Linked DNA regions of Oryzias latipes. The protein of the gene in region 1 purifies or fractionates together with the protein of each later gene. This does not show direct contact. Links are inferred from orthologs where the notes say so. Each region holds a gene or a part of one and is shown on either strand. Other genes may lie near its edges.

Region 1 (9,680 bases):
TTCCTTTTTCTTCTGTGGGGTCTCAACAAATTAAAACCCAATTTGTGTGTGTTGTTTGCTTGTTGACGTTGTGTTAACCGGGAGTCACAGTTGACCGAGCTGTAACCGTGCCAACAGCGCGTGCCGTCCTGGATCCGTGACGTCTCGGACCACAGCTGCTCACATCAGGCTGTGACACACACACATACACGCACACGCGCAGCCAAAGGGGACAAAACATCTGCCGGGAATTTGACTTTTCTCTGGGCAGTCACCAAACCTAAACTGTTCAACCTCCGTCCGGTTGGTACTTCTGTCATGTAAACACAAACACTGTAATTTTAGTTTTGTAGATTCACATCAGGGATATTTACATCTAAGAGCGGCTATAGTTCCCCAAACGCATCCGGTTTCTTCATATTCAGACTGGAGGCTTTGTTTTTCCTTTGAAACAGGTTTTCTTAGAAACCTCAAACGGGTCTGAGAAAAGCAGGCACACAAAAACTTGTTTTACTTTAAACCTTAAAATTGTCTGTAATAATTTAAACTTTTTTCAGAAATCAAACATTAACTTCAATTCCTAAATTTGCTGAATTTGTTTTATTGCTTTACTGATGTGCAGCGTTTGGATATTGTCAACCGACTACATTAAACCAAAACAAACTGAGCTCTAGAATATTGAAAGATAAAGGAAAAAAAGATGTAAAAAATCTGGGATTCATTCAGGAGCAGCTGACGAGGCCAAAACCTCTTTTAACTAATCGTGCAAATATCATATTTACAATGTTACAGTAATCCTAGCAGCTGAGTGTGTACACTGCCACAAACGGTAGCCTAAAACTAGGAAAAGAACACTAATCTAAGAAGAAAATCCCTAGAAAGTAGTAAAATTATCTGCCCACGCATCAAGTAATCTTTACTTGAAAAGAAATCTGATAAGATATCAAACTCTAGAAACAAGCATAAAACATGGAAAAATTAAGCTAAAAAAGCTAACTTTTTAATATAATTACTTAAAATTAAATGTTAGTTAGTTAATAGCCCAATAAGAAGTTTCTTTTTGTTGAGTCTAAGTAAGTAGTTTGTTTTGGAGTTTTCTTGTACCCAATTGTAGTTTTTATATTGACTACAGTGACTAATCTAGTGTAATAAGTGAAAATGACTGATTTTAGAACAAACTGAGTGAAATAAGAATATGAGCTTAGTTCAAATGGGCCCATCATACTAAATCCTTCTAAAAACTAAAACTAGCTCTTATTCATAGAACATAAATTAAAATATTTGTTTCCAAAATAGATACAACCAAAGCCTGTTTAATATTTAATGAGCTTTTAAATCCTTAAAATTGAACCAAATTTACAGTGCAATTTGATTATTTCTTTTCAAGTCTTTAATCAAGTTTATTCTATTGTCAAGAGTTTGGAGCAAAATGATTTTGACTCACCTTAATAATAATTTCCTTATTTTTTAATTCTAACAGACAAAAATTCTCCATTGTGCTGATTTTGAGAAAAGCTAGAAGTTAAAACAACTTTAAACCTGGTAAAATGCCTTGAATGTCTAAAAACAAGGTTTGAAATCTTCGCAAGGATCAAATAGCTTGTGCTGTGGTTATTGTGGTTTAATGCAGTGAAATATTGAAATATTATTAATAGGCTGCTTTCATAAGCAGATTGATCTTTGAATGCTGTTTTATTAATGACCAGATCAATGTGTTTCCTAGAGTCAAACTCTCCTTGAACTGCACAGTCCATGAGTTTTCTGCAGTTCAGAACCATTAGCTGTTTTCACTTTAATATAGATCATTCTTTTAATAAAAGATCTCTGGCACCAATTTGTTTTTGTTTTTTTTAATAGTTTTGACAACATAAAGCTTCAACATTAAGGAAGAATCAGTTATACTAATCAATTCCTAATACTATAGTAATATAGAAATTGATGGATCACTTATGTGAGCATTTAGTAGTTGTTTGTGACAAATTTTCCATAATTTTGCTGTAAATTTTGACTTGAATTTTGAATTGACTTGTCAGCTTTTGGGGAAGATGCTTATCTTTAGCGCCACATGAATGAACAAACAAAAGATGCTGAAAAGAGGAGCATCTTATTTATGTCTCACAAAAACGGACAACTGTGATATTGACAAGTTCCCCTAACCTTTTTGAAGTTTTAAGTACATTTGTTCATTCACATTAGGGCTGGACGATATGGCCTAAAAATAAAATCTCCGATTTTATTGTTTTTTTTAACCCCCCCACAGACACACACATTTAAGGAAAGCAACAAGTACAAATGGCAGACAACTTAAGTTAAAGCAAATTTTGCTTTTATTTAAGCAAACGCAATGGGATGAATACTAAATAAATGATCACACTCTTGGAATCAAAGTCCCAGCTGTGTTTTGAGTCCCACTTTGTAGTCTAGACTAAAAGGAGACAAACATTCACCTTGAGAGTAGCACCATTTTCTAAAACAATACAGTTCATATCTGGGGGCTAAGGTTTTAATTAAACTAATAAACCCCGTCTTCTCCATGGTATATATGGGTACCATGTCTTTGGCTATATGCAAAGCGACCGCTTCGATGATTGTTCTCCACCGTGCCCCTTTCCTATGGATTGGTACCGAGCCCCGGTATTGAACGAGCCCCGGGGCAACATTCTTCAAGCCCGCGGTCTCTGTAAGATCTGACCTCAACGGTTCTGCTATCGGTACCGGAGAAGTCGCCTTTTTTTTGGTGTCCCTCAAAATATAAACTAGAGCTGTGACGGTATGGGATTTTTGATCACCGCGGTGATGAAGCAGCAGGAGTCGCGGTCAACCGCACCCAAATGCGGTTGCAAACCAAATGCGCCATTGCACAAAAACTGGATTTAGTTATTTTTTAAATCGCCCGTAACAAAAAATTCGAATTAATTAATTCAATCGATTTTTCGCTCAGGCCTAATTCATATTAATCATTTGATTTTGTCGTCTTGCAGTAGTGAGTATTCTGCTTGTTTTAGAGGGAAGTTTGTCGCATGTATATCCTGTACCAAATAATGTTGAGCCATTTTCCACACAAGTTTGTAGTTTAGTGTTGAGTGTTCACTTATTATGCTGTCGTCACCTTTAGCGCTTCCAATATCTGATTTAAATGGTTCCGTCAGCATTCGGCACCGACTTACTTATTTGAAGTTGGCGTGGATGTTCCAGTTATTGTTCTGATCAGCTGATTTTACACACTACCTTAGACACCGACACCGTTTTCCTGAAAGTCATGTCAGGTTCAGGGAGGGAGGTCTACTGCTCCTGGACAAGTGGAGACAAGGAGCTCATTCACTGTGCTAAGGAATCAAGCAGCCTAACTGTCTGTGCCCTCAGATAAGGTACCAACGTCTCAAAATAAATCTAGAAGTTAGAAAGTAGCAGCCAGTTACTGTTGTACTTGTTTCTCCAGAGAAAAAGCTCCTTCAAACATGCATCTTGAGGAGTTTTGACCAAAATATTTCTCTAAAACATTTCAGGATGAAACTGAATGTCCACCATGGCATGTCAGTCGGGTCTGGACCTTCACTGCATCTTCGTTCTGTTTGTGACCCAGTTTGAGCTCAGCTTTAGCTGTTGTACTGATGGACCCACATGAATATACTCTGATTGTGAAGGACATCATGCTCCTCTCACAGCAGAGGCTCCAGGAAATGAATGATCTTCATGTTTGACCGTCACCACCTGGAGTGACTTTTTATCATGGAGGTGTTCGGACGCCGATGTTGACCAGAAGTACTTTGTCAAACATTACCTGAGCTTTCCAAACCCACTGTGTTACCATGTTCATTTCAGAACAAAAGTGTCCTAAAAAGGAGACTTTGTGTCTTTAGGATTTATTTTTAAAAAAACAGAGGAACAGTTTGAGGGGGGAAAAAATTTCTGCTAATCCTTTCAAACAAGCTACACATCTGACATGTTTATTCAAGCCTGTTCATGAAGCTTATTGTGTTTACATTTATAACTAATCTCATTTAGACTCACATGGTCATAAATCAATTCAAATTACAATCAAATCTCGTTCAATTCAACATGAATTTGTCAAATTTCTGCTAGATTTAAATAACTTTTCTAAAATCAAACAAAAAGGATTTAATAGAATCAAAGTAAATGGTAAATGGCGTATACTTATATAGTGGCTTTCTTCCTACAAGGACAAAGCGCTTTACAGTCAACGACACATTCACCCAGTGACACACACATTCACTCACACATTCACACACTGGTGGCGGCTCCGCTGCCAAACACAGGCGCTCGCCTACCACCAGAGGCAAGGTGGGGTTCAGTGTCTTGCCCAAGGACACTTCGACTCATGGGCGTGCATGAGTCGAATTGTAGATAAGATATGAATTGTACTAATAAAGCTTTTAAATTTCAATAAAAACAAGGGAAACAAGAGTTCACTGACAGGTTTGGACAGAACTTGGCTTGACCACATCTGGTTGGTTTTATGAACTGATCTGTTGATCAGTATCTTCAAATGGAGTTTTTACAGTTTTTGATGCGACTTTTGAATCCAGGCTTCACAGGTAAAATCCCATTTTGGTGCACCTCTCACTCTCTTCCTGTCACCACAGAAACCTGCCCCCTCCATCTCATTGGTTGGATGAACACCAAACAGCGTCTCAGCTGTGACCAGTGATTGGGCACTGAGCCAGACGGGGCAGCCAGAGGACAGCCAGGTGAGCCTTTTATCTTTAACTATTAAGATGGGAGAATGACAGACACTGGAGATGCATGAAGATCCACTTTGTCACTTAGTGCCCTCCCAGTGCCAAAGAGAGGTTCAGAGAAATGCAGCCGGTTCTAAGTGATGCTTTGGGGTTTGGAAAGCAAAGTCCTCAGGCTGCACACGCAATGCTTTAAAAACAACTACCAAATAGACAACTTTTCTGACAGAAACTTTAAATTTTGAGCTCAGGGTTTCATATAATATTGATAATTAAGGCAATTAGAAATGACCCAGATCCCTGACAAACAATCCAACTTCGTCAAAGATGAAGTCTGACGTGGGTTTGTTTATCTGCCAGGCTTGCCATCATGGCGGATGTGGACCCAGACACGTTGCTGGAGTGGCTGCAGATGGGACAGGGCGATGAGCGGGACATGCAGCTCATCGCCTTGGAGCAGCTCTGCATGCTGCTGCTCATGTCGGACAACGTGGACCGCTGCTTTGAGACGTGAGCTTTCCTGTTTTAAGAGCCGCAGACGCTCGTGTGCTCAGACCTTTGAACTCCATCTTCCTGTCTGTCAGATGTCCTCCTCGAACGTTCCTCCCAGCGCTTTGTAAGATCTTCTTGGACGAGAGCGCTCCTGATAACGTGCTGGAGGTCACGGCCAGAGCCATCACCTACTACCTGGACGTGTCGGCAGAATGCACGCGGAGGATCGTGGGTGTGGACGGGGCCATAAAGGCCCTGTGCAACCGGCTGGTGGTGGTGGAACTCAACAACAGGACCAGCAGGGATCTGGCTGAGCAGTGTGTTAAGGTAAGAGACTTGGCTGTTGCAGCAGAGAACCTGAGACCTTCAAAACCTCTAAAATCTGCATAACATGGAAATATTACCAAGTCTTTTAGGAAGGTAAATTGCTTGTTCAGTTTCAGTTCTGGCTGCTCCATGTTCCCTGTTCCTTCATGGATGATTGATGGAGGAATTGTTGCTGTGGACCATATCGTCCTAAAATGAACAGACGTGTTGTCGGTTCCTAAATCTCTTTAGCGCAGACGACCATAACTGTCCTGGAGTCGTTGCAGCTGTTTTAAAGTCAGGAAAAATGTAATAAAAAATGCCTCCATCATGGTCTGTGTACATTGAAATAGTTGTAGTAATTTCATGAAAAGAGTACTGCGCTTTATGTGAAGCATGAATCACTGGGAGATGGAGGGCAGAGCACAGGTTCTGAGGATTCTGTCATTGCCTTCTAAAAAGATGATTACCTCAAATCTAACAAGATCCATTAGTTTTCTGGTGTGACAGAGTTCTTCTTAACATTGGAAAATAGACATTTCAAAAAAACATAGCCCAGTCAGTAATGTCAAAATAAAATGAAACATGGGATTTTACTGGTCCTAAGCTAAAGAAAGAATACAGCCGTCACTTCTGCACGGGTTACTTGTTACCACCAGTGTAACCAACACTGGCCTCAATGGAACCAGAGCCTTATAAGCCCCTCCCACAGGCCAACTAAACAAATATTGCTTTTTCCAAAGGCATTTTTACCTTTGCCTTGCAAATATTCATTCATTCATCTTCTAAACCTGTTTTCTCCCTTTTCAGGGCCTTGCAAATGTAATTTAGAAAAAACTTAAAGACATAGCAAAATTTTGAAGCAATTTATTTTATTTTAACGTCTACAATTTGAAAATAAGCTTAATTTGAAAATAATCATTCGCACAATAACAATTTTGACATGTGTCATCCATTCCCGTTTTCTGGTGTGAACATATTTGTATGATGATGTTTAGGAGGATCCGGTTTGAGAGTTTATGATGGGAATAGCTTGACGGGGATTGCAATTCTATTTCAGACCAAAGAAAATGAACTATTGGGATGAAATACAAGTGATGTATTTGTGTGTGTGTGCGCATGTGAGAGGAGGAGGGAGGGAGTGTCCGCTGCGATCCAGAGACACTGCAGGGGGACTGAGGAAAAAAACAACTTATGCTGACAATTTTGGCACCGTCATGTAACCTGTGATGTTGTTTCATCACATAAAAATGATTCAATTGTTTGTATTCTTGTTTATCTTAATCTTTTAGTCTCTGTTGAAGGAGGATTTCGGTCAGCTTTATCCCTTAATGTAAACACATCTTCATCATCTGCATTGCAGCTAAATCAACTGGGTTTTAGCTTCAATGCAGCAGCTCAGGTGCAGCTCCTGAGCTGCGTCTCAAACGCAGCGGTTTCTGTCCACGCTCATTAGATAAACACTGGTGAATTTTGCCTGCAACACTTCAGATGAATGGAGATGCCTTTAAAGAGCTCTAGCGTGATGTTAAAAAGTCCAGAACGGTTGTTTGAGTTTCAAACCTGTGACTGCAGGTGCTGGAGCTGATCTGTACCAGGGAATCTGGCGCCGTGTTTGAAGCCAGCGGTCTGAACTGCGTTTTGAGCTTCATACGCGACAGTGGTCACCTGGTCCACAAAGACACTCTGCACTCTGCAATGGCAGTGGTGTCTCGCCTCTGTAGCAAGATGGAGCCGCAGGACTCTTCTCTAGAAACCTGCGTGGAGTCTCTGTCCAGCCTCCTGAAACATGAGGATCACCAGGTAACCGGGCGGCACCCCCACCGGACACCAGCTGGTTCAGAAATGCAGCCTTCTGACTCAAAGACGCTTTCTGTCCTCCAGGTGTCAGACGGTGCTCTGCGTTGCTTCGCCTCATTGGCTGATCGGTTTACTCGTCGAGGCGTAGACCCCGCCCCTCTGGCCAAACATGGACTGACGGAGGAGCTGCTTTCCCGCATGGCGGCTGCCGGAGGTTCCGTGTCGGGCTCTTCTTCTGCCTGTAAACCAGGTCGGCCCTCCACTGGTGCCACACCGTCTGCCTCCGACTCCAAACTGAGCAACCAGGTGTCCACCATCGTTAGCCTGCTGTCCACGCTCTGCCGGGGGTCGCCAGTGGTCACTCATGTAAGTCCAGTTTTTTTTGTTTTTTTAAACAAAGTTGCCGTGTACTAAAGCTGAACCTGGTTTTCAGGACTTGTTACGTTCGGCACTCCCTAACTCCATGGAGTCTGCGCTGGGAGGAGACGAGCGCTGTGTGCTGGACACCATGCGGCTGGTCGACCTGCTGCTGGTGCTTCTGTTCGAGGGGCGGAAAGCGCTGCCAAAGTCCACCGCCGGCTCAGCAGGTCGGATCCCGGGGCTTCGCCGGCTGGACAGCTCAGGGGAGCGGTCGCACCGACAGCTCATCGACTGCATCCGCAGCAAAGACACGGACGCCCTGATAGATGCCATCGACACTGGAGGTGAGAGCGGCCGACGCACTACAGTTCCCATGAGCCTCTGCCTTCATGTAGAAACTGGAACTGAGGATCAAACGCGTGTGTGTCTGCTGCCTAAGACTTTTGATGACAGAGTTTGTTCTCTTTCAGCTTTTGAAGTGAACTTCATGGACGACGTGGGACAGACGCTGCTGAACTGGGCCTCAGCTTTTGGAACACAGGAAATGGTAAAAAAAAAAACTTTAAATCCGACTGGAGTTGAAGTTTAGACGGGCAGAGGTCTGCATCTGTTTGTTGATTAATGGGTTTTATATTGTGAATGTTATTGGGAAGACTCCTAACAAACTATTTTTTCAGAAACCGTTTAAGTCCATCTGTAATCAGCTTTTCACCTTTTCTGCTTTGATGTCTGTTGGCTGTGAATTATTTAGGCAGCAAAAAATAAATCAAAGTTAAACCCATAAAAGCAAAAGTGCAATGTTGCTGCAATAAACCATTATGTTTCATATTAGATTTTACGCAGAAGGAAATTCGCTTTCTACACTTTTTCTCGCCTTATCTGTTCAGATGCCAATGGAAAAGAAGGAACTTCTAAGTCACAGTGACTTCCTAACAGTTTCCTGCTTTTCTGGTGTTTATTTTCCTGAAACTTTGAGGTGGGGGCACAGGCCAAAAAAAAAATGCAGAGGGACGATGTAGCGCTTTCAAAAACATGAAATTAAATGGATTTTCGGGAAAGAAAAACCTTAAGTGGCATCAGATTTTCTAAGTAACATAACATTCTTCTTCCTGTTCTCAAAGACAAAAGGTTTGTTCATTTATCTTTTACTAATATGATTTTGGAACATAATTCACTAAATATGTGCTTGTTGATGAAAACATCCAGAGCTTGGCACAACTGAGAACCACAACTGTTGGATGAAGAAAGCTTAACAAGGAAAAGGAAAAATGTTAATCCCAACTGAAATGCTGGAAAAAAGCTAAGCTGAAGAAGGAATCTGGGGGGTTTTAAGTTCTGTTTTCTGCAGCAGGACTTCAGAAGACTGAAAACTAAAGCAGCACGTATCAAAGGATTAAAAAAGATTATTTTAAAAGAAAGACAGAAAAAACATGCAAAAGTTTGAATTAGAATCCGAGAATTAGAATCAATTTTCTGTTGAAATCTTATCTTCTTTTGTTTTTTTGCATTGATGACATGAAAAATTTTGTTTGGCTTTTATTTTCTAAATGATCCTAACATAAATTTAGAATTTAAAAGCTGATCGGGACCATTGACTAAAGAACTTCATGTCAAACATTCACGTCATCAAATTTGTGGTGAGGTCTCTTCTCAGCTGATCCAGTCCTCAGATTCTCCTCTTTAGAACTTCCCTCCTGTTCTGGTTTCACTCTGATGAGGTTGTGGTTCTGGTCCAGGTGGAGTTTTTGTGCGAGAGGGGTGCAGATGTGAACCGAGGCCAGAGGTCATCCTCGCTGCACTACGCTGCCTGTTTCGGACGGCCACAAGTTGCCAAGGTAACACACGGATAAAAACGCCCGTGGAGACCCGCCGTATGGCTCGTGCTGGCGTGGACGAATGATGCTGGATTTGAGGATTTTCGTGTGGTTGTGGTCAGACGCTGCTGCGGCACGGAGCCAACCCGGACCTGAGGGATGAGGACGGGAAGACTCCTTTGGACAAAGCCAGGGAGAGGGGACACAGTGAGGTGGTGGCCATCCTTCAGTC
Region 2 (10,123 bases), on another chromosome or scaffold:
ACAGTAGTTCAAAAAATGATTGTCATGCATTTCCCTTCTCATATTTCATGTAGTATTTATGGCAACAGCTATTTGTCTAGCTTGTGTAAACTATACTAAAGAAAGCAAGAGAAAGAAAGTTGCAAAAGGGAATCGCAACGAGTCTCTGGCATGCCAAAGTAAATTGCTGCATCCGTTTTGCAATTCAACACTGCCATTAGAGTTGTGACCACATATTGCCTACCACAGCAGTCCAATCATGCTCTTATGTGTTCATATCTACCGTAACATGCATGACACACCTTGGCACTGTCTGGATTGTTGCCTTTAGTGACAAACCAAGTCATCCAAAGGCAAATGAAACAGTATGGTATCCTCAAACTAAGGAATACAGAAATTAACCATTGTGTATTTACCCAAAAAGTATGAAAATTACTATCATTTGCTCAAAGTAGGCAACATCAAAACATCTATGTTGCATCATGAATGACACTACACTAATTTTTGCACTAGTTGCGCTGGAAACAATTTATTAAGTAATGAGTGCAACTGCGGATTCTCACATCTTTATAAAAGTTGAAATGTTGAAATAAATGACTTCTATGGGGTTCCTGAGGAAAACTGTTGGTAAGAAGACAACTGACTGCTACTAATTATATAGTTGGTAACATTTTTAGGGACATAATCTAACAAAGCCCTACGACAACCTGTCCAGGATGTCCCCTGTCTTGGCCCACGAGTGGCCAGGATAGGCTCCAGCAGCCACATGACCCAGAAAGGGACAAAGCAGATTTAGAAGATGAATGAGTGAGTGAATGAATGAATGAATGAATGAATGAATGAATGAATGAATGAATGAATGAATGAATGAATGAATGAATGATCTAACAAAAAGAGCATCTAGGAGAGGCAGGGCTCACGAACCAGTAGAACTGGGATTAAAAACAATCTGAATTTCAGAATATCCTTGCAATAAAGTTATTAAGTATTTGAATATCTCATCATCCAGCAAACACAAAATCATTTCTGTAAAAAAGATAAAAATAAGATAATGATTGCTAGATGCCCGGGATCTTTGGGTTCATTGGTCGAATTACAGAACAGGTATGATTCATGAAGGAACAAATGTAAAAACCGATATATAGGAACATATGCTGTCAAAAAATGAAAAGGGAAAACTGTTCACAGCAGTTTGGGTTTCAAAAGCAACATTTTTTCGTGTAGACAAATTATTATTTACACCTGACGAATTCAAATTCAACATCCATAATGATGGAAGCAGCAGAGATTTCTGCAAAAAAAAAAAGTTCACGTCTCTAAAAAAATTATATTTCAGGCAGAGCAACTTTTTCTTCTACCCACAAAACTTCTTTAGCATAAAAAGTCTTGCATCTTTCAGGAACATAATTCTAATCAACATGCAGTTTCGTCATAAAAGCATGGGCACTGAAAAAAAACATTTTTTGGTTTTGGCCAATCATCATTGAAACGCATCTGGCACATTGCGAAACGGCAAATGGAATTTTTATGCAGTGAAGTCCAAGTTTAATATCAGATAAAAATGCATTTTATTTTCATGGATTGAAGTTTAAAAAAAAGAGTCACAGCATGGCTGGTTACTTAAAACTTTTTACTATCCTGCAGTATTTTGTAAAATAAATAAATATATTTAAAAACGGCTGATTGAGTCTTTCACAACTTGATATGGACATACTGTTCATTTGCTTTTTAAGATGCAGAGTGGGTTTTATAAAATACTTGCCATCAGTGCTGGTGAGGACAAAGATTTCAGCTTGGGTTTGTCTCTTCCCACCAACAGTTTTGGGGAACCAGTGCATGTCCAGGGGGTAGATGTCCTCTGACAGCTTGACGACCACATTGGTTTCATTGTTCACCAGGTTCCACTTGAGGATCTGATGATCATCACTGCATGAGTACAGCTCATCGGCTGTGGTCCAACCTAAACAACTTACAAGATCCTTATGTGAGCTGGTGTTAAGAAAAATAATAAAAAAAAGGACAAATATTACAAATTCAGCTGATTGCATGTTTTCTACATAGATACCTAGAATCTGGAGAACCTGCCCCCAACCCCTTTATTTATTTTATTTTTTGTTTGTTTTGTTTTGTCTTCATTTTTTTCAGTAGAAAATGCAAATGACAAGGTTTATCATTGCTGCAGTGGTTCTTATCAGCAGAAATTTATTTTAGTTTGCAGAAATGTAGGACAGAAAATAATTTAAAAACAATCTTAAATTGAAGAACAGCAATAATACTATTAAAACGGGAACGTGAAATGTCACAGTTTTCAAAATATTTTGCCATTCAGCTCAAATCAAAGGCAATAAGTTATAAAACAAGAGGGATCACGATGCAATTAAAGGATATGTTTTGGTTCCTTCTGCAGCGTAGTTTTTAGTCTCATTGTTCTTGTCTCTCTGTTGAATCCTAAACAAACAAAACACACGTATGTCAGTTTTGAATCAACTCTTAAGTCAAGCTTAACATTAGAGGAAAATCCAACAAAGAGAGAAAATGCACCAACACCAAACAAGCGTCTAGTTGCTATGTTACCAGGCAGCCACTGTAGCTAACTAACTAAAATCATTACCTTTTAAAATCGCACGGGGGGCATTCTGATGACCGCACTTCTTTTATGTGCCTCTTATCAATGTGTGAAAGTCATTTGATATAGTTCGAATATTCGATACAAATGAACCAGGTCAAGCAGCGTTGATGAAGAAGCGTTTTGTTTTCATGACGTATGGAAGCTAACTTTTTAGCCATGAAATCTCGGATGAGTGAACGGTTGACAGCCAAGTCATCGCGAGAGTTGTAACAATTTGCAACCTCAGCGTGTACTTATAGAGGGTTTACTTTTTGAGTGACTAATACAAATTCATTCAGAAAATGATCTTTAAAGTAGGCTTGCGTTATTACTGAATAATGTGTTGATGATCTCGGTCACTTCCAAAAAATAATATAAACGTTTCCATGGGGCGGGACTTTATTTTACAGTAACCGAATGATTCGACAGTACTGAAAACACAACTCTTTTCTTAAAAGATATCCTTACTCAAAAAATGAAAATCGTAAGTGATGTCTTTTTATGAAATTGTCATTTATCGCTTTGTTACTGTTGCGCCTTTCTTATCACTGGTGGAGCGAGGCGGAGTTGGCTTCGTCCCCTTTTTTGAATTTTGTGTTTTTTTCACACTACCATTTGAAAGGTCCATGATGCTTTGCGAGAGTTTATAACGAATTTGGTTCGACGGCGCAGTTTAGGCGCCATTTACAAGACAAGTTTTTCGAGAAAGGAAGCGGCTCCGGGTGATACGGCACACGATTTTGTGGACTATTTTAGTGTATTTTTTGCTAGACCTTGGATTAACCTATTCTTCTTGAAAGGTTTGGACTGGATCGAAACAGAAAATCAGCGAAGGACTTTTTTTTCATTTGTGGAAGGTACATGAAGAAAAAATAGAAAAAAAATATTTACTGGGTTCCGTCTATTTGCTGAAATTCATAGCGGTCGTTGAAATTGAGACAAACCTTTAAGTAAGCCACAAATCCAACTATGTTTTAAAATAAAGTAAAAGGAAAAAATATAGCATTGGCAGGACATTGATAGTGTTACTACTACTTATTGACTTTTTTTTAGCGTTTTTTAATAATTGCAACAATAATGGATTCTTAACTTAAGCCCCTATAGCATTACTGTTTATATGTTTATTACAACCTATACCAGTTAAAGGTGGTAATATGTCGGTCTGCTCTGTGATGCTAAGTTTGACATAATGATTAGTTAGCACCCCCCCTCCCCCCTGCTAACCTAACTATTAGCCGAGGGAAAAAAAATCGTAGTAACTTTTAATGCGACATAGTCATCCGGTAACAAAACGATTACGAAAACATTCTTAAATCATGCTGCATGTACTGTAGGTTTGGTTAGTTATTCGAATACATTAACAAATCGCGTTAGATGGCCAACTTCAAATTATCATTCCGCCCTGAACATTAGAATTCAGGGACTGAAAGCTAGTTTGCAAGTTCGACTGTTATCTGTTGAGCTGCGCTTTCAGTAGTGGTCATCATAGAAAACTAGCAATTCAAGGCTCGACACGAATTTCTCTCCCTCTTTTTCTTTCTTTCTTTTTTTTTTTTTCAAATGGGTGACGTAAACTTTATTTTCCTTTTCGTTGTTACCCACCGTTAAACGTTAACGGTTAAGGCCAAAAAGCATTTTTCCAAAGTTTTGTAGTTGGCTAGTTTGTAACATTTTTTTACGGGGATTTGTTTTAAAAGCTAACCTTTTTTTGATCCTAGTAGTGTTAAGATGAATAAAAATCGCTGTAACACACTTTTCCATGTTTTTGTTTTTAGCAACTATTTAAACTTTTGGAAGGAAAAAACAAATAATAAACACAATGGTATATTATTAGGAAGGGCGGCAGTAAGATTTGACTGGTAATGGCAAACTCCTGACACATTAGTTGTGTGTGACTGACCGTAAAGTGGAGTTGAGAGATTGACAGACACAAAAACCACTCATGTGTCCCCCCCCCCCCCCCCATTTATTTTTTTATTTTTTTACCAATGACCCCTTTAGATTTCAAATCATGCCATCCAAAACCGCAAAGAGCTCAACCGCCTCTACCAAGCCAAGAGGAAAAGGGTCGCAGGATGTGTCTGAGGGTGATCTGGATGTACCCCCTCAAGAAACTAACTCCAATGGCCAAGAGGAGGCACCACCGACAACTGGCAAGTAACAAAGGCTGTTTTGGTGTCTGTGAATCTAAATAAGTTGTTCAGTCAATGGCTCTGCGTGTATTGCAGTATTGCTAGAGGCCAACTGGCACAGCTGTAAAGCTCCTTCCCCTCCTCTATCTTAAATTGAAAAGAGTAGCTGGGATGGCTGAGACGTTTTCTAAAGTGCAACATAGAAATGAAATCACTCCAGGATGATTTTCATATCGTCGAATGCATTTCTTCGCCCGATCTTGACGGCAAACGAGGTAATTTGCTTCGAAATGGTGTGTTTTTGTTGTGACGTAAAAACGGGATTTGTATTCATCATGCCTGCAACTTTTTTTTTTTTTTTTTGAACAGCGCGTGTGCTGCTCTCAAGATGCAATTGTTGAAGTTCATTGGTACATGAATCTGTTTAATAATTTTTTTTCCGCTAAATGTCTAGCTGCTATACTTTATTTTTGAAACACCGTCAATTCTTTTGTATATATGAGAACACAAAAGATTTTGAACCGATTCTTGAAGATCGTTGTAGATCTTCATGCAGAAAAGTTTTTCCTGTCTGTATTTCATTTAGCTGGGTGTAGTAACGACGTCGCTGATATAAACGCACTTCATTTATCCTGGAGGTGTCCGTGGCGCATCAAACCGGAGAGAGACTGCGTTTGTGAGCACTGATGTGTGCTCGTTCATGTCCGATCCGAGGCTTGACTCTTGCTTTCTGAACAAAGGGGGAAAAAAACGACGCCTGTCAACTTTCCCCGGAGTCGCTTGTCTGTCTGTGCGACTTGCCGACTGTGTTTTTGTTTGTTTGTTTTTGTTCTCCCCCCACCCCTCCCCCATGGGCCACTGTCCCGTCCCTATTACCCCCCCCCCCCCCCCACTCCCCACCTGAAGCGATTCGCACAGAAAAACTGAAAAGTGCCCTTTTCTGTGCCACAGATTCGGCAGAAGGGGAGGCTGCCGAGGCGGTCGATAATCGAAGTTTGGAGGAGATTCTCGGTAGCATCCCTCCACCCCCGCCCCCAGCAATGACCAATGAGCCGGGCGCTCCCCGCCTGATGATAACACATTTAGTGAACCGCAACTTTAAGTCGTACGCAGGCGAGCAGATTCTGGGGCCTTTTCACAAGGTACGACCAAAACTTGATTCTAATCTACCATGTGTCCTGAATATATTTAACTATGTACTTAGATTACATTTAGTGCAGTGACGTGCGGTGAGGTTAATGGCTGGTGAGGCACTGACGTCATCAGTCAGATTTACAAACATATGAACCATACTGATTAATTTATTCTCCATTTGATTGACAACAGTTAAGGTGTTTTGTTTAAAATATCATTTCAACATGTTTTTTTTCATATACAAAACGCAGCATAGAAAAAAGCACAAACATTATTATCGTCTTACCTTTACTTGTAACTAAAGTCCATACGCCGCTCTTTCGGAAGAAAATGACTTGCCGCTTGCTATCACTTATTCTATTATTTTTTTAGCGTCATAATCTCAAGGCTCACCGGCGCCCCCTAACGTGAGGCACGGGAACTTCTGGCCTCACCCAGCGGCTTTTTCGCCGGCGTTTAGCGCTCAGCACAAGAAACACGTCCCTCACATACAGTTATTTATAAAAACAAACACTGTACATCATATACATCTGCTAAATTATGCAAACTCAGCTCATACAGTACAAGTGATTGAACCGACATACAGAGAGACAGCAGTACCGTCTGACTGCATAGGTATTGCGCAATCCAAGGTGAGGCTCAGCGGGCTGGTGCCTCATCGCACGTCACTTCTTAGTATCTGAACGGCAAATGCGGAAATTCAGCGATTTTGAAAAGAAAAAACACCCAAAATTGGTACATTTAAATGGAAAATGACTGCAAAGCACAAATTACTGATTAAATATAATAGTTGAATTTATTTTTTCTCTTTTCTTCCCATGACAGGTGAGGCACAGCCTCACCTGCCTCTCCTGACTGCACGTCACTGATTTAGTGTAACTGTTACTATCCAAGTCTTATTCATTTGATACTATTTTTTTTCTTGTCTGAAATCTTAGGTCACCTTTCTAATAAATGTGTCTTATTGAAATCTATAAAAAAATAAGATTATTAGTAAAAATGTTTAGAGAGAAAAATCCTTAAAAAAAGAGGAAGAAGTCACACTCCTCCATTTTGATTTAGTGTTTCTCTCAGTTTCTGAAAATCTACTGGTGTAATCACATTTAATGAAACTTTTTAAATGTTTTTTTCTTTAAAAAAAATCTTTTTCAGTCGCCTCATGTCCATGCAAGTTTCATATTGCTAAATTTAAGTGTTTAAATCTATATTAGACTTGTGTGTGGTGTCATCGCTGTTACTGACAGCTGTTGTTGAATCTTAATCTCTTGTATGTTTCATATGGATGATGCATTCATTTTTATTTATTTATTTTTGTCTCCTAATTTCTTCCCAGCGCTTTTCCTGCATCATTGGTCCAAATGGAAGCGGCAAGTCTAATGTGATAGACTCCATGCTCTTTGTGTTTGGATACAGAGCTCAAAAGATAAGATCAAAAAAGCTTTCAGTGTTGATTCACAGCTCTGATAAACACAAAGATGTGCAAAGCTGTACTGTGGAGGTGCATTTTCAAAAGATCATTGATAAGGTATACAGATATTTATAAACACTTTTTTTTTTTACACACAAATACAAACTTCACTAAAATGATCAGTTTGTTGTTCAAACAAACAAAAAAAAAATCACCAGAAATATTTTAGTTGGGCAAAAATGAATTTTTAAAATGTATTTGTTCTTTGTCGTTTCTAATGCAGTAATATTGCTGCTCAATTCTTCTTCTAGTGACCAAGTGTAAACTTAAATCAGTTGTGAAAGTTACTGGAACTCCCACACGTGCCACATTTGAGTCATTTTGCCCTAAAATTGATCTGATGGCAATGAAGGGAAAGAGATAAACAAATGCATTTATTGCCTCTGCTTTTTTTCATGGTGGCAAAAAAAAAAAAAAAGCAGTAGTGTTTGCTTTAGGTAGGATGTAATAACAGGCTGCTGTAACCACCAACTGTGAGCTACATTTTCCCCCCAATTAGAAAATTTTTTATAAATTAAATTAGCCATAGGGACTGTGAATTTGATCACACTGCTGAAGCTAAAATGTTGTGTATTTTTTAATAAACATTGATTTGTCTTAAAATTGGCACAAACTGAGAAATCTGTCAGTTTTGTATTTACAATCATTCCTTAAAACTACAGGGTTTTTTCTTTCAGCGATGTGCACACGGCCTTAAATAAATAGCCTTTTTTCTTCTTTCAACTAAACATTTTTACCCAATCCGTTTATCTTTTGTAGTTACAAGTTTAGGAAGCTTACGATGCAATACACTCCAATACACATTTAGTGTTTTATCTTATCCTTTGCCTTTATAGATGTAGTGCATTCTCATAAACAATATTTTATGTGTGTGTTTTTCTATGTAGGCCTTGTTAATAAGTGAATCTGTCAGTGTTGGAACAGTTTGACGTGTTGGGCTGTTTCAGCCTCTCCTGAACTGTTCTGTTCTAAGCTGCTGTGTCTTCTGCCCCTCCCCCCCCCCCGAGCCAGGAAGGAGATGACTACGAAGTCATCCCCAACAGCAAATTCTACGTTTCCAGGACTGCCAACAAAGACGGTTCCTCAGCCTACCATATCAATGGCAAGAAAGCCACATTTAAAGAAGTGGGGGCATTACTACGAAGTCACGGTATTGACCTCGACCACAACAGGTTTCTGATTTTACAGGTAATTATTTAGTGTTTTTCTTGTATTCTTTCCTTTTTTCCTCTTATCCTGCAAGTCCAAAAAACTTTATTTTTTTTTGAATAATCATGCCATTCTGTCATTTATCTTTTTTTATTATTATTTTTTTATTTTTTTTAGTGCAATTCTCAGGTTCTTTTTTGCTTAAATGTTTCTCATGTACCTGTAGGCCATGTCTGGAAATGTCATGGAATATGCTGTGGTGTCATAGAAAAGAACTGGGGAGGGGTTGCCCTCTGCAAGACCTTAGAATGCTGTAGCAGCGCATCATGGTTTGAAACAGTCAGAAAAAAGTGCGAACCATTATTTGCTGCTTTAGAATTTTAAGGAAAAAATGCAAAAAATTGAAATTCTCCCACATAAACCTGAATGTCAGTTGCTAAACTATTTGCTAGCTTAACAGAGTTTTTTTATATTTTTAATATTTTTTTTATTTTAATTTTTTTATTTTTGTGGATCCACTAATGGCGATGAGGTGGACCCTTCCTTTTTCAATATACCTGCTACGCTGTAGCAGCACGTAAATATTGGCGTGTGAAAAAAGCCCCCAACCCCAATATTAGCAGTGCTGCTTCAGTGTGACGGGATCAAACATCCTCTGTTGCCAGGACTTTAACTATCTGTCTTGGTTCACGTTTTGTTCTATTACTGTAATTCATGGTATACTATGGTCCTACATTATTCTTGGTTAAAAAGATTTACGGTAACCAAGTTTAAATCGTCTCACCTGTCATAATTTTCTTCTTAATATTTTAATTTTCTTTTTCATTTAATTGTATTTTTTACCTACCATAAAATAAAAAATAAAATATTGAAAAACTTTTCCAAGAAAAAAATGTAATCTCACTTTATAATCAATTATTTCACATCTTTTTTTTTTTTTTTTAATAAAAAGTGTTGTGTTTTTTCTTTTTTCCTCTAAATCTGCCCGTCTATATTCCTTCTCCTTACACAACCCTGTTTTTGGCATGGCTCCATGACTATGGGAAGAGTCTTGAGCTTGGCTTCAAGGTCACTTTTCCAGACCTTTAGCAAAAGGGGAAGCGGTGTCATTTGTGCTCCAATCAGGACAGAAGGATGTGGGGTTAGATCTCCCTTCTTCCTTGAGCTTATTTGTTTCATCAACATACAGTAATGTCTGATCTACTTTTTACCCTGCATATAAATCAACCCTGGGTTAAGCAAGTGTGTTATATGACAAAAATCAGGTCAGTGATGAGTGTTTGAATTGAACTAGATGTTTTCTCTTGTTGTTTTTGAATTGTTTGCCAGATTACTTAAAGTAGTTTCGTAAAATCTGTGTGAAATCAGAATTGTTCATTTACCATCAAACTTTGACTTTATTAGATTAATTTAAGTAAAAGAAAATACGTTCCACTGTAGTTAAAGGAACTGAAACATGTTTACTGCTACAAAAAATTGTTTCAGAAATATAGCAAAACGGCTTTTTTTTCACAAGAACAATGGCTTTTGAATATGTGTGTGTGTGTGTGATGAGTGCAGGTTTTTGAATACATTTTGGACAGGTAAGCATCATAAGTATATATTTAATTCTTCCAATATTATTTTTCCATCACTCTAAATTTATTTATTTAT

What was found.
Region 2: the proteins of hectd1 (region 1) and smc4 purify together in Homo sapiens (affinity purification with western blotting; 3 studies listed by BioGRID, with this or other methods). This does not show direct contact. The link is inferred for Oryzias latipes from reciprocal best matches to the Homo sapiens genes HECTD1 and SMC4.

What each region holds. Positions count from the first base shown.
Region 1 is NC_019880.2:2,630,191-2,639,870, reverse strand, and holds part of hectd1 (E3 ubiquitin-protein ligase HECTD1), read left to right. Parts: intron 1-4,583; 5' UTR 4,584-4,688; intron 4,689-5,036; 5' UTR 5,037-5,046; coding exon 5,047-5,186; intron 5,187-5,260; coding exon 5,261-5,495; intron 5,496-7,049; coding exon 7,050-7,277; intron 7,278-7,358; coding exon 7,359-7,640; intron 7,641-7,707; coding exon 7,708-7,978; intron 7,979-8,104; coding exon 8,105-8,181; intron 8,182-9,370; coding exon 9,371-9,469; intron 9,470-9,570; coding exon 9,571-9,680. UniProt on the Homo sapiens protein: E3 ubiquitin-protein ligase which accepts ubiquitin from an E2 ubiquitin-conjugating enzyme in the form of a thioester and then directly transfers the ubiquitin to targeted substrates.
Region 2 is NC_019871.2:13,488,115-13,498,237, forward strand, and holds the start of smc4 (structural maintenance of chromosomes protein 4), read left to right. Parts: upstream 1-3,265; 5' UTR 3,266-3,309; intron 3,310-3,387; 5' UTR 3,388-3,444; intron 3,445-4,588; 5' UTR 4,589-4,598; coding exon 4,599-4,740; intron 4,741-4,761; exon of another isoform or gene 4,762-4,924; coding exon of another isoform or gene 4,925-4,994; intron 4,995-5,670; coding exon 5,671-5,861; intron 5,862-7,186; coding exon 7,187-7,378; intron 7,379-8,332; coding exon 8,333-8,509; intron 8,510-9,016; exon of another isoform or gene 9,017-9,119; intron 9,120-10,123. Other genes in the region: ift80 (intraflagellar transport protein 80 homolog), read right to left, coding at 1,742-1,963, 2,368-2,404. UniProt on the Homo sapiens protein: Central component of the condensin complex, a complex required for conversion of interphase chromatin into mitotic-like condense chromosomes.